Arabidopsis thaliana: one gene and its partner. The protein of the gene in region 1 purifies or fractionates together with the protein of each later gene. This does not show direct contact. Each region holds a gene or a part of one and is shown on either strand. Other genes may lie near its edges.

Evidence for each region. The genes of interacting proteins can lie anywhere in the genome.
Region 2: the proteins of AT1G32730 (region 1) and HTA7 fractionate together in Arabidopsis thaliana (co-fractionation; one large-scale study listed by BioGRID). This does not show direct contact.

The regions. Positions count from the first base shown.
Region 1 is NC_003070.9:11,836,880-11,844,662, reverse strand, and holds AT1G32730 (electron carrier/iron ion-binding protein), read right to left. Parts: upstream 3,754-7,783; 5' UTR 3,587-3,753; coding exon 3,465-3,586; intron 3,172-3,464; coding exon 3,110-3,171; intron 2,827-3,109; coding exon 2,739-2,826; intron 2,521-2,738; coding exon 2,418-2,520; intron 2,316-2,417; coding exon 1,707-2,315; 3' UTR 1,355-1,706; downstream 1-1,354.
Region 2 is NC_003076.8:9,789,917-9,795,560, reverse strand, and holds HTA7 (histone H2A 7), read left to right. Parts: upstream 1-2,000; 5' UTR 2,001-2,195; coding exon 2,196-2,411; intron 2,412-2,517; coding exon 2,518-2,754; 3' UTR 2,755-3,052; downstream 3,053-5,644. Other genes in the region: RECQSIM (RECQ helicase SIM), read left to right, coding at 31-130, 215-298, 378-465, 618-740, 819-911, 1,021-1,317; DEG14 (Trypsin family protein with PDZ domain-containing protein), read left to right, coding at 3,326-3,340, 3,425-3,527, 3,617-3,724, 3,829-4,014, 4,100-4,227, 4,399-4,610, 4,721-4,802, 4,900-5,042 and 3 more.

The DNA.
Region 1 (7,783 bases):
GCCATTACTCTTGCATATTCCAAGAAAAAAACAACCAAAAATAAAGTGAATTTAAATGACGGAAATCGATATTTCTACAGTTTATTCGGTGACCAAGTTTTTGTTTGGATAGTGGTTGTTTTAAAACATGTAGTGTACTACAAAATCTTTTAATTTCTTACTTAAAAAGGTAAATTTAAATATAGTATTTTTTTCAATTTAAGAAGTTTGGAATTTTTTGCACATTGTCTATTTTACTAAACAAAAGGTTTGCTTAGCAAAAATAAAATAAAATGAAATGCTTGTCGCTAATCATAAGTCATAACATGTGTATGTGTGAGACTTGCTTGATTTCTTTCCTTAGCACACTAGTTAACATAATTACATCATTAGACAGCAACTTCTTCCCACCTTTTTTTATATAATAGGATTCGTTTATCTTGAATATTACACTCTCTTTTTGTTGTTGTTGATAGTTTGGTGACATTAATTATTCTTGGTTTTTCATCTCTTTTACTTTTTAAGTAATGGATACTATATATCATAATCCATAAGCAATCTGGTTAAAGTTAACAAAAACACATTAGTAGCGAATCCGGAAAGATGTAAAAGAATAATTTATCAGTAAATATATTTTTTATTCTATCTGAGAAAAAAATCATTAATCATGTAGATTCTAATTTCAAATATATAATAAAGCATGCAAAATAAATAAATTAATTAAAAATTTAACTAAGAAGTTTCAGATTTAAACCCATAATCTCTTCTAAAAAATGAATAATACATATCAATTTAGTTTCTTTTTCACCAACGGTGAAATCGACATTTTTTTTTATTTTTTGGAACTTCGGATGGTACATTGATGAAGCTACCAAAACCAAGTACTAAATGTGTTACGTATTATATAACTTTTTAAAATAAATACATAATAAAAATTAATATTGAAAATGATTACACAATTATCTTACAATTAAAAATTGTTACACCAACCCTTCGTAGAAATATTAGGTGGTAACAAAAATAAATTAATGATTATTGAGAGCTTAACTTATAATGAGCTCATTTGAGTTGTTTGATCCTCAAGTCCCAACCACCAACCCATAACCCATTCAACATGTTTCCAGTTGGTTTGCATAATGTAAATGAATACTACACACACGAGACAACCACAACATGCATATATGAATAAGATATATATGGTTGAAATTGGAAACAAACTAAACGTTATTTTTACTTTTTAGTTCCACAAAAACTTTTGGATATGTTTTGATCAATAGTGGAATTGGGGCAGCAAAACAAAACTAGAATCTAAGAGTTTGGTTTTAGTCGTTTTCAAATATACGTGTTGAAAGTGGCCTATGGATGGATGGATTCATTTTTTTCCAAAAAAACAAACCGGTCTAATTAGACTGAGCGGTTATCCAATACCAAACCAAACCAACTATTTATTAAGTCAAAGGTAATCCAATGAGCAATTTCAAATCTAACAAAGCAACAACACACAGTGAAAAAAATCCAATGAGATAGAATCAACAGCTTTATCCATGGCTGAGTTCTAATATCTAAATGATGCTCAACACTACTTTACAAGAATCTCTTGAGTCTTTGGAGTCTTCAGGATCAGTTTTGAGGGATGTTTGATCATTGTACAATACCGTGGTCACGAAGGATCTAGAAATTTTCTTGCCACTCAAACTTTTCAGTTCATCCACAGGATGTTCTCGACTTCACAACATTCCAACTTTGTCAAAAGATTGGAGATTCTCAGCGATTTTTTGAAGTGCTTCTTCACTCATCTCAACTTTTCGGACTACACCCGGAAAGATCTTGTTCTTCTCGGAAGCAGCAGTGGGAGAAACTTGACCACAGAGCTTTGATTTCATCTCTAAGCAAGATTTGAGATCCTCTTCGGTTCTTGCTTTGTTCAGTTTATCGATTATTTCATTCAAAGCTGAACCTTTCTCTTCCCATTTCTTTCTTTTGACCCGCCTTTTGATATCATCTTGATCATCTGAAGAACTGCCTAAATCCAGTCTCTTAAGCTTCACCAAACCGGCTTTGACTGTCTCCGCGATCCGCTTCTTAAAGCTCTCTGTTCTTGCAGAGTTCGATCTCAGCCTCAGTTTAAGCTCTGAAACAATATTTTCCTCTTTGTTTTGCTCAGGAGCTGCTGTTCCATGACTCTCTTCATCAGGAACAGATGTAAATGAAAATGCTTCTTCGAGTAAATTCACATTACTCATGTACCGATCAAAAGCTTCATTTTCTACTTCAATGTTTCTGTCTCTGTACTCTTTTAGCTTTGTAAACCGCCACTCGTTTAAAGCTTGAGCATCCTATAGAATATAGACAGAACAAAAACTGATAAGAGGAAAACAACTAAATGGAGATTTTTCATAGAGTACTAAAGTCAATGAAAGACGTCTTAATTAGTATACCTTTATCGTCAAAGGTTTTCTCTGGCGGGAAGAAGCATTCAGGTTATTAAACTGAGCAAAGTTGCTAGAAAGTTGCCGGATTGACGAAACTCTAGTGGTACTCCTGAAACAATTTCCAAAAGAAGAAAACGTCAACATAAAGCGCCATATTTTAGTTCCACAAGACCAATATATCATCTCACTATCAACTACGTGCAATAAAACAAGAAAGCTGAAGAATCTCCTATCAAAGTATTAGTAAGCAAACACCGGTTTATCATCTAAGATTCACTTGCCCATGGAAGCACAAACAAAACAGAAAATTAGTTTATATATATGTACCCGGGAGTGCCCTCGGTTGCTTTCTGCTCTGAAGATGGAGTACTTGGCGCCTGCGTCTTCTCACCAGACGTTGAAGCTACTTTAAGAACTGCAGCGAAATAAAACACATAAGAAGAAACACAAAACAGTCCATGATAACATCTCTATATCTCTCAGCTAATCACAAGCACATTCCAAGAATCAGTCTTATGGTTCTTTATAGGTTTTTTTGTCCCGAGACAACCAAACGAACCCTATAGAAGTCAAGAATACTAAACTCTAAACTTACCAAGTGAAAGAATAGAACTCTCCAATCAAAGTTATCAACACTAAACTCTAAAACTGATCACTTTAGCTAATTATGAAGTTGAGATTTGACAGGGCAAACATACCGTGAATCGGGCAGGGATTCTCTGCTCTTGAACAACAACCCTTACAAGATTGAAAAGGGCACCTGCATTTATCAAATCCAAGCAATACAATTACAATTACTTCACCAATAATCTCAAAAAACTGATCTTTCGATACTAAAGCTCAAAACTTTAAACAATCTCCAACAGATTAATCACCAAATCATGAATAAAAACCCAAACCCACAAACCTATGAACCCTAAATCAAAACGAAAAAGTACTATACAAGACAAATTCGAATCCTTTCAGATCAAAAACCCAAGAACAATCCATAAATCGAAACCCCAGATGTAAAAAACCTAAGTCCTTCGATGAAACAATGCGTAGAAGCAATACCTGGAGCGAGCTACATTGCCGCATTGAATACACTTAGGCTTATTGAGACCACGGAGAGTTTTGGGAGGCGTGACGACGGAGGAAAGACCATTGTTACTCAGAGACGGTGACGAAGTCGCCATTGATAAAAAGTAACGGTTTAAATTAAAACCGTTATTCAACGAAAGAGATAACTAACGACCAAATAAAACTCGTGCGAGTGAGTAACAAAAAATTTGGAATCGAAAGGATTGGTTTTTATTTTTTTTTGTCGCTCTGATTTTGCGAAGTGCTCTCAATCGCTCGATTTCACGGCGGGTCTAGGGCTCCGGTTATTAATAATACCACGTGAGTCGTTTTTATATGGGCCTGGGTTTTAAAGCCCAATATAATTTCTCTTTAAATTGAACCGAACTTAACCAAATCATGAACTTTATCCGGGATCAGACTTGTCAGATAAATCAATATAAGCCCAAAAAAAGCCCAAGTAATTAGGTTATTCTATCGAATCAGATTCACATATATATAGACGTTATTGTTCATATGAACAATAGAACATCAATCTAAATAATTTAGTGTTTGCCGTTTGGGCAAATCTTTTTCTTCCTCATCTCTTCCTTCGCTTTGCTTTAGAGTCTTTTCATAAGTAAAAGAAACAAAAACAATAAATCATTCTACTAATTGACTTGTAACTCGAAGCTTTGATTTGGACGTTACAAGTGGTATCAGAGCTTCACACTAGAAGCTTCTAGATAGAAGTCAATTTGGCAGACAAAACAATGCATTTAGATTTTGGTGCATTCAACTTCAGAGTGTTTTCATATTTTTATACTACTCTATACTATTTTGCAATTGATATCGCTTTCTAACTTATTATTCTGATGCATCGATCGCTATATGATTATATTGCGTAACCTTGGCTGATTTTGCAGCTTCAATATACTTAGAGTCAATTTTGTACTTGGCTGATTTTGCAGCTTCAATATATTTAGAGTCAATTTGTATGGACTTGCAGATTTGGATGGGTTAACACATAAAAATATAGTTTATACTTTATAGACATGATTATTTAATTAATTAGTTGATTTATCATTGGTTTTAGATTTAGTAGACTATGAGGACTGTCAAGAGTCCACACGACGATCAAACTAAACAACTCTGATGATAATAGAGACTACAAAACAAAACAGAACTGAACAATTTTACAAAACAACAATTAAAAAGTATAATTTAATCGGAATAATAATATTTGCTCACCAATATATAAATTTTAATTATTCTTCTTCTTTTTATTTATTTGGTAAATATTTAACCATCCATTCATGATTTAACGATTACAATCGAGATAAATACCATTGGATAACAAAATATTACGAAAGATTTCCTCACCAATTCTTCGCGACATAGTGAACGTACATCTCTCAAGTTGTTACTTGTAAATTGCAATCATTCGCATAATCTATGTTGCATGAAAACGGAAACGGAAATGCGGATACGAAACGTTTCGGAAACGGGAAACGATTTTTTCTTAAAATTAGGGATTGGAAACGTTTTGGAAACGTATACACATTTATACATATATATAACATTATATATATATATATAACATTAACATAAAACTATATTAAAGAAAAAATGATTTAAACAATACAAGTCCAAAATATCAATATTAAATAAATAAACTAAAATTCTAAAAGATAAAAATTAAAAGGTTCAAGTTCAAATAGTTAATTTAGACCAACATTTTCATTAGTTTTATCAAAGATAATATAAAGCTCTTTTCAAATCTGGTTTAACAAAAGAAAGATCTTAAAACTCAAAGTCTTCCAAAATTATTTATATGTAATAATAATTTTAATATTTTCAATTTTAGTTATTAAATTTTTAAAGTCAATAAAAAAGATTTGTCGTATGTCTATTTCGGAAACGTGAGTTTCTATTTTGGAAACGTAAGTTTCCATCGTGTTTCTAAACCTAGATTTTTAGGAAACGCGTTTCCGTGACGTTTTTCGTATTTCCGGAGAGTTTCCGTTTCCGAAACGTTTCGGAAACGAGAAACGCACCTCGGAGCGAGTTTCCATGCAACCTAGCGCATAATCTTGCAAAAAAAAACATTAATACATAGGCCTTGGTTATTTTTTAATCCAACTTCTCTATAAATTGAACCTGAACTTAAACCAAATCAGAAATACATAAATCGGTCGGTTTGTGAGGTATTAATCCGAGATATGAGATATTTTTTCTTTTTCTTGTTAACAAATTAAAGGAGCAAGAATCGTCCTTATCAAGTAAGGACTTGATTTTCCAAAATATATTTGAATTCCTTTTTTGTAGGATCTTTTGTGGATCTAGTTGGCAAGAGTGATGTGTATATAAAAATGTTAAAATTGATTAATAGCCACAATGAATAATTCTGCCAATGAACTTGTACTTTGTAGCTTCAATCTAGACCTAACATTGGGTATTAAAGCTTCTATATATATAGAAGCTCTGATACCACATGTTAGTTTTAGATCAAAGTTTCAAAGTATTAATAAATTGGCAGAGAAAAAAAAGCATATAGAAGTCAATTCCCTTGAAGTCCTTTTTAACTTATTGTTCTTAGTTGGATCTTGAGAACAGTATCTTGGAGTATTTCTATGTAAAATGTGAATTTATAGTTTTCAAAATTTAAAGCCAGAAGTATGTTTGCTTTTTTATTGATGTTGATGTTTGAAATCATCATTATTTGATTCTTCACAAATCAATATTTTTCCTTGCATGCTGTAGATTAGACGATACAACAGAGATCAAGTAGATTCCAAGAATCTTGGAAGCCCGAGAACTATGTATATACACCGCATGATTTGTCAGGACAAAATTTGGGTTAACAGTAAAAATGGAGTAGAGATGACTTATCATTGGTTTTTTACTTTTTAGAAATATCGACAGTCCATGCAACGACCAAACTAAATATTTTTGGTTGTATATCAGAGACTTATGCGGTAATCTAATTTTTCAAATTGACAATGGTAATGTCCAAGACTTTCTTTGTTCCTCCCATTCTCAACCTTCAGTGAGAAGAAAAAACTACAACAATTAACAATATATCAGAAAATAAATAAATAGAGAAAGAATAATCTTACAAAATAAAAATGAGAAAATTAAAGTATAATATTTAATGCGAGTAATAATACTTCTTAATCAATAGTTTTGTGTGAAAAAGAAAATCTAAAGTTTAGTGAGAAACAATAAAATATTATGAAAGATTTAGTGGTGACCGTAAACATACATAATCTCTCAAGTTGTTGCAATCGTTCCCATCTCTTCCAAAAGTGTTTTTTCCCTGTTTTGGCAAAGGAGTAAGAATCGGTCCTTGTCAAGTAGGACTAGATTTTTTCCAAATATCTTTGAGTTCCGTTTTATGTATAATCTTTTGTGGATCCGCTTTGCATGTGTGTTGTGTATGTAAAGTGTTGAAACCCAACTATGTGACACATGACAAGTCAATACAAGCCCATTAATCCATGTTTCCTTTCCAAGTAATTAGGTTTATTCTAAGATGTAGACTCATATATATAGACATGTTATGAAGATCAATAAAATTAGTTTAGGGTTACCTGCAGTTCTCTTTCTTCCTCAATTCTTCTTCATATTGTCTTTGCTAAAGTTTCTCTTCTTTAGAAAATAAAAAGAAGAAATCATTTTGTTTATTGACTTGTACCTTGAAGCTTTGATTTGAACCTAAACCTAACAATTGGTATCAAAGCTTCTAAATAGAAGCTCTGATACCAATTGTGAGAGTCATATCAAAGCTTCAAGGTAGTAGTCAATTTGGTAGAGAAAAAAATAGGGTTTGCCATCTTGATTTTGGTGCATTCAACTTATGCTAGGAGTTTTTTATAGGTTTCAATTGATATCCTTTTAACTTATAACACCATGTCTGAAATCTTATTTATTCAATTCTCTGGACATCAATCCTGCTCTTTGCGTGTTGGGGTTGAAGAATAAACTTTGACGATTCAACAGAGACTTGCATAACAGCAGAATTTGTCCGGACAGAATCTAGATTAACACCAAAATATGGATTTATAGACATGATTAAGTTATTTGTCATTATTTTTGGTACTATGGCCAGTTCCACACAAGACACAACGACCAAACTAAATATGTCTGGTCACTTTTGAGAATTGAGATTTTATCTCGTAATTATATCAGAAACTCTTATGATGTAATTAATCTAATCTTCAAACTGACGATGAAAAACAAGTACTTTACGAGAGAAGAATTTTTTTGGAGTCAAAATAATTGTTCGATCTTTAGTTCTTATAAGAAATAATAAAATATTGAGAATATTACAC
Region 2 (5,644 bases), on another chromosome or scaffold:
CTGATGGAAGTAACTATCTGATATTTACAGTGCTCTATGCTGATCTATCGAGAGCACCAACGCTTTTGCCAAGCCGTAGGAGCAAAGAACAGACAGAGCAAGCATACAAGATGCTATCTGACTGTTTCAGGTCTCTATACTAGTCAGATACGTGGGAGTGCATATTCACTTATCGTTCTATATTCTTTTATATTCATTCTCCTTTCTTATGCAGATATGGAATGAACACTTCACAATGTCGGGCCAAAATACTTGTGGAGTACTTTGGGGAGGAATTTAGTTCCAAAAAGTGTAACTCGTAAGTCCTATCCTTTTATCTAAAACCCATCAAGTCAAACTACCAAATAGTTGTAAAACCTTTCCAATCTATGAAACAGATGTGATGTTTGCACTGAAGGGCCTCCGGAGCTAGTAGATGTACGAGAGGAAGCTAATCTTTTGTTTCAAGTAATCACTGCTTTTCATGTAAGCCATTTGATTAATCCCAGAACTTCATTTAAAAGTTTGCTTGTTTCGTATGAGTGATATACAATCAAACATATTTCTATTTAGTATTTGAGATTTCGTCTACTACTGTATAACCTTTCTTTCTGAAACTTAAGCCGCTAGTATATTAGTTGCAGGTAGACAATGACTCTGAGCATGCACCATATGAAGATTATGGACTCGGCAACAGCAAACAAAATAAATTATCCCACAAGCCAAATCTTCTGTTCTTCATCAGTAAACTCAGGGAACAGGTAAATCTTCTGTTTCAACAAATTACATAGTGCATTATGTTCTTGATGATATTAATGTGATGCCTTTGGTTAGTGTAGTGTGAAAAATTCAAGGAAACAGATTGTCTTTGGTGGAAAGGTCTTGCCCGTATCATGGAAGCCGAAGGATACATCAAAGAGATGGATAACAAGGTACACTAGTAACCAAAAAACCAACCTTTCTTATGATCCATTTATCGGTAAAGGCGTAAAGCTACGATCACATATTCGGTTAAAACCATGTTACTGATCTGTGTTGCAGGATCGTCGAGTTGAGATTAAATTCATACAACCAACAGAAAAAGGGAAGAAACAACTAGATTTCCAAGATGACAAACCACTCTATGTTTATCCAGAAGCCGACATGCTACTTTCGTTGAAACAAGATAGAACATACAGTGGATTCTCTGAATGGGGAAAAGGATGGGCAGATCCAGAGATCCGGCGCCAGCGGTTAGAGAGAAGAGAAAGAAAGCCTCGAAGAGAAAGGAAACCCCGAAAAAAACGAACACGAGGACGTTCTTCGACGAAGTTACATCCATGGAGAAGCAAAGAATAAGAATCTCAACCCTCTTTAAGTAATGAATCCACTTTATATTCTTTTACCAAACCCATTATTCCATTCATGGATCTTTATGGAAGCATAATACTTCTTTCTACAATTGCTATATCAGGCTCCTTCTTTGCTCTGAGTCCCATCTTGAGGCATAGATACCGCGCCATCGAGAAGCTGAGGCTTGTAAACGAGGCTTTGGTAACGGCGGAAGAGAACGTAACAAGGCTTCAAGAACGTCATGATGTGATTCTCAAAGAGATATGTTCTTATTATCTCGTTAACACCGAGCTCCATGAAGCTTTGGTTTCATCTCGTGCAGCCATTAATGATGCTTCTTCATTTGTCATGGAGCTTAGAAGATTACAGTTGAATATCTTAAACTCTCTTTCTTAATCACATTTTTTGTACTTATTACACTAATTAAAACCAGAGTTTGGGTAATAATTTTTGTTTCCTTAATTTTCCGAATTATCCGCTAATTTTCTACTCTAATTCTCTGGATATTTTAAATAATAGTAATAATCTGCTGTCAAAATAAGATAAGAAAAAGACATAAAGCTGATTATCTTGTAGAACGTGTGGGGAATGAATCTAACGGCTGATATCACTCAAGTGTTCTTTTCCACCTTCCTTTTACAACACCCACGTGTAATGTCATACAAAGAAGTCATTACGACCGTTAGATCAAAGCCAACAAGATCCAATCTTAACGGCTAAGATAAATTACTACACGGATCGCCAACGTGGCAATACGTGGTATATACATACACGTCGTTCTTTCCTCATTTTAAGCAAATCGTAAACCGCCACAAAACCGAAAAAAACACTAATTGTGCTTTCCCTTTAGATTCATTTGTATTTTCTTTTGGAGCTTTTGAACAATGGAGTCATCACAAGCAACGACGAAGCCAACGAGAGGAGCAGGAGGAAGGAAAGGTGGAGATAGGAAGAAGAGTGTTAGTAAATCTGTTAAAGCTGGTCTTCAATTTCCCGTTGGTCGTATCGCTCGTTACTTGAAGAAAGGTCGGTACGCTCTCCGATACGGTTCCGGTGCTCCGGTTTACCTCGCCGCCGTTCTCGAATACCTAGCCGCCGAGGTATATTCAATCTCAGATCTCGTTGCATTTTGAATCGATTTATTTTGTGTATCTATTAGATCTGTTTAATTTTGAAGTTCTAATGAATTGAACCGGTTTGGTTTAGGTACTTGAGCTAGCTGGGAACGCAGCGAGAGATAATAAGAAGAACAGGATAAACCCTAGGCATCTATGTTTAGCGATAAGGAACGATGAGGAATTGGGGAGATTGCTTCATGGAGTTACTATTGCTAGTGGTGGTGTTCTTCCAAACATTAATCCAGTTCTTCTTCCTAAGAAATCAACAGCTTCTTCTTCTCAAGCGGAGAAAGCTTCTGCTACCAAATCTCCTAAGAAGGCTTGATAAAGAATAGTATCGATGTTGCTTTTTGGTTATATTCGGATCTTAGATGAAGAAGAAGAAGAAGAAGAAACAACTTGTTTTTTGTTTTAGAGGATTTGTGTAGGTATCTGAAATCTTCTTCTCTTTGTTTTGGTTTGTCTTATGTAAAAACCATGGGAAGATGATTATGTTTGTTAACGCAATTTGTAATGGAAAATAATTAAGTTCTGGGATTAGTAACTTCATCTGTCTAATTAATTTCTGGGTTTCGTACTTGTTGATTTAAACAATTTAGGTGGATTAATTGAAATGGTTTTGGTATACACATGGAAAGATTCAGTACAGTTAATGACATTAATTAAAGTAGATAATAATCACGAAAAACATGACATTAATTAAGAAAATGATTGTTCAAATTGGGCTTTGTTTGGGCTTAGTTGATAGGCCCGTTAGAATTTATGTTCTTGGTTCATCTACGAGATTCTGGAAAAGGGGTTTTGGTTTTCCGGTGGGGTTTAGAATTTAAACAAGACGCGATTTCGAATTTCGTTCTTGTAGAATCAAATTGTTTGGTTTCAATCTTGGATTTGCGATGATGAATTTTCTGGTTCGATTCTTCTCTGCGATTGTTCAATTTCTTGTTTAATTTGGTTAAAATTTCACTGACTCATTTGTTTTTTTCTGGGTTTAGAGAAGAGCTGTATCATCTTCTAAAAGAAGCGAGCTTATTCGCATCATTTCTGTTGCTACTGCTACTTCTGGAATTTTATATGCTAGTACTAATCCAGATGCAAGTAAGTTACTATTACCAAGAACCATCTTCTTCATTATGCGTTGTATTTGTCTCTCTTGGTGTTGTGGTTTAATGTGATATGTATTCTAGGAACTCGAGTATCGCTTGCTATACCTGAATCTGTTCGAGAATCTTTGTCGTTACTGCCTTGGCAGATTTCACCGGGTTTGATTCATCGTCCTGAGCAAAGCTTATTCGGTTCGTAGCAAAATTTTCTGATATCTGAATATGATCAATGCCAAATTTACTCTAGAGGTGCAAGTTGCAACTTTGGAATGTCTGTTTCTGTGTATATGATATAGGAAATTTCGTGTTTTCTTCGAGAGTTAGTCCGAAATCAGAAGCACCTATAAATGATGAGAAGGGAGTTTCTGTTGAAGCTTCGGATAGTAGTTCGAAACCAAGTAATGGCTACTTAGGGAGAGATACTATAGCCAATGCGGCTGCTAGAATTGGACCAGCGGTTGTCAATCTTTCGGTTCCTCAGGGTTAGCTTCTTTCTTGTTTTTATCTTTCTTTTGATTTCACTTTAGAATTCACAGTGGTGGTTTGGTGATCTTGTGAATGTTGTAGGTTTCCATGGGATATCTATGGGGAAAAGTATCGGTTCTGGAACGATCATTGATGCTGATGGCACGATACTGACTTGCGCTCATGTTGTAGTTGATTTTCAGAACATTCGTCATTCTTCTAAAGGGAGGGTATGACTAAAACATCAAATATGTTTACTCATACAATCTTGCAAAGGATCTTGGAATAACTTTTGTCTTTGGAATACATATGGTTAATTATAAGATTGGTTTCTTCTACGGATTTATCTTTGATGGAATCTGTTTAGAACATATCTGAAGTTTAGAGTTGTTGAATTATAGGTAGATGTGACGTTGCAAGATGGTAGGACGTTTGAGGGTGTGGTGGTGAACGCTGATTTACAATCCGACATTGCATTAGTGAAGATAAAGTCAAAGACGCCATTGCCAACTGCTAAACTTGGTTTTTCGAGTAAGCTTCGTCCTGGAGACTGGGTAATAGCGGTAGGTTGTCCTCTGTCTCTCCAGAACACAGTAACTGCTGGTATTGTCAGGTAAAATAAACACATGTACTTGCAAAAGATTTATTCTATATATTTGATAAGTTCTTATAGTCAGAATTGTTGATTTTTTTCTTTCCGGTTTTGCTTTTTCTTGGTGCTAGTTGTGTTGATCGCAAAAGCAGTGATTTGGGTTTAGGAGGCAAACATAGAGAGTATCTCCAAACAGACTGCTCGATCAATGCGGTAACTTACATCTTTCTGTCTCTATGAATGGGAAAGTCATTACATATTGACTTGCAGATTTTGTGTTTTTGAGATCCTTGTGCTATATGTGTGTCAGGGAAACTCTGGTGGGCCTCTTGTAAATTTGGATGGGGAAGTGATTGGTGTTAATATCATGAAAGTTTTAGCTGCAGATGGTCTTGGATTTTCCGTGCCAATTGACTCGGTATCTAAAATCATCGAGCATTTCAAGAAGAGTGGGTATGCTAGTAATCTCAGTATAGTTTCATCATGTATCACATCTTAAAGGTTGGGAGGAGTTAAACAAAAGGTTATTGTTGCAGTAGAGTTATTCGGCCATGGATTGGGCTCAAAATGGTCGAACTCAATAACTTGATCGTTGCTCAGCTAAAAGAACGAGACCCAATGTTTCCTGATGTCGAAAGAGGCGTTCTTGTTCCTACGGTGAGTACCCATCGATCAAGAAGATCCAAAGAAAAAATGTATAATCCAAGTTTTGTCAAACTTTTGCATATTCACTTATATAGTTGCATGATCATTGTTTGGCAGGTGATTCCGGGATCACCGGCTGATCGAGCTGGCTTCAAACCAGGAGATGTTGTTGTGAGATTTGATGGGAAGCCGGTCGAGACCATCAAAGAGGCATGTGTCGTCTCTCTCCCTCTCTCTTTTTCTCACACTCTCTTTTTCTCACACTCTCTTTGTCTTCTTAGTGTTCGTGTGTGAATGAATTTTAATTGCAGGTGATAGAGATAATGGACGACAGAGTTGGGAAGAGGATGCAAGTAGTTGTGGAAAGATCAAATAAAGAAAGGGTCACACTAGAAGTCATTCCTGAGGAG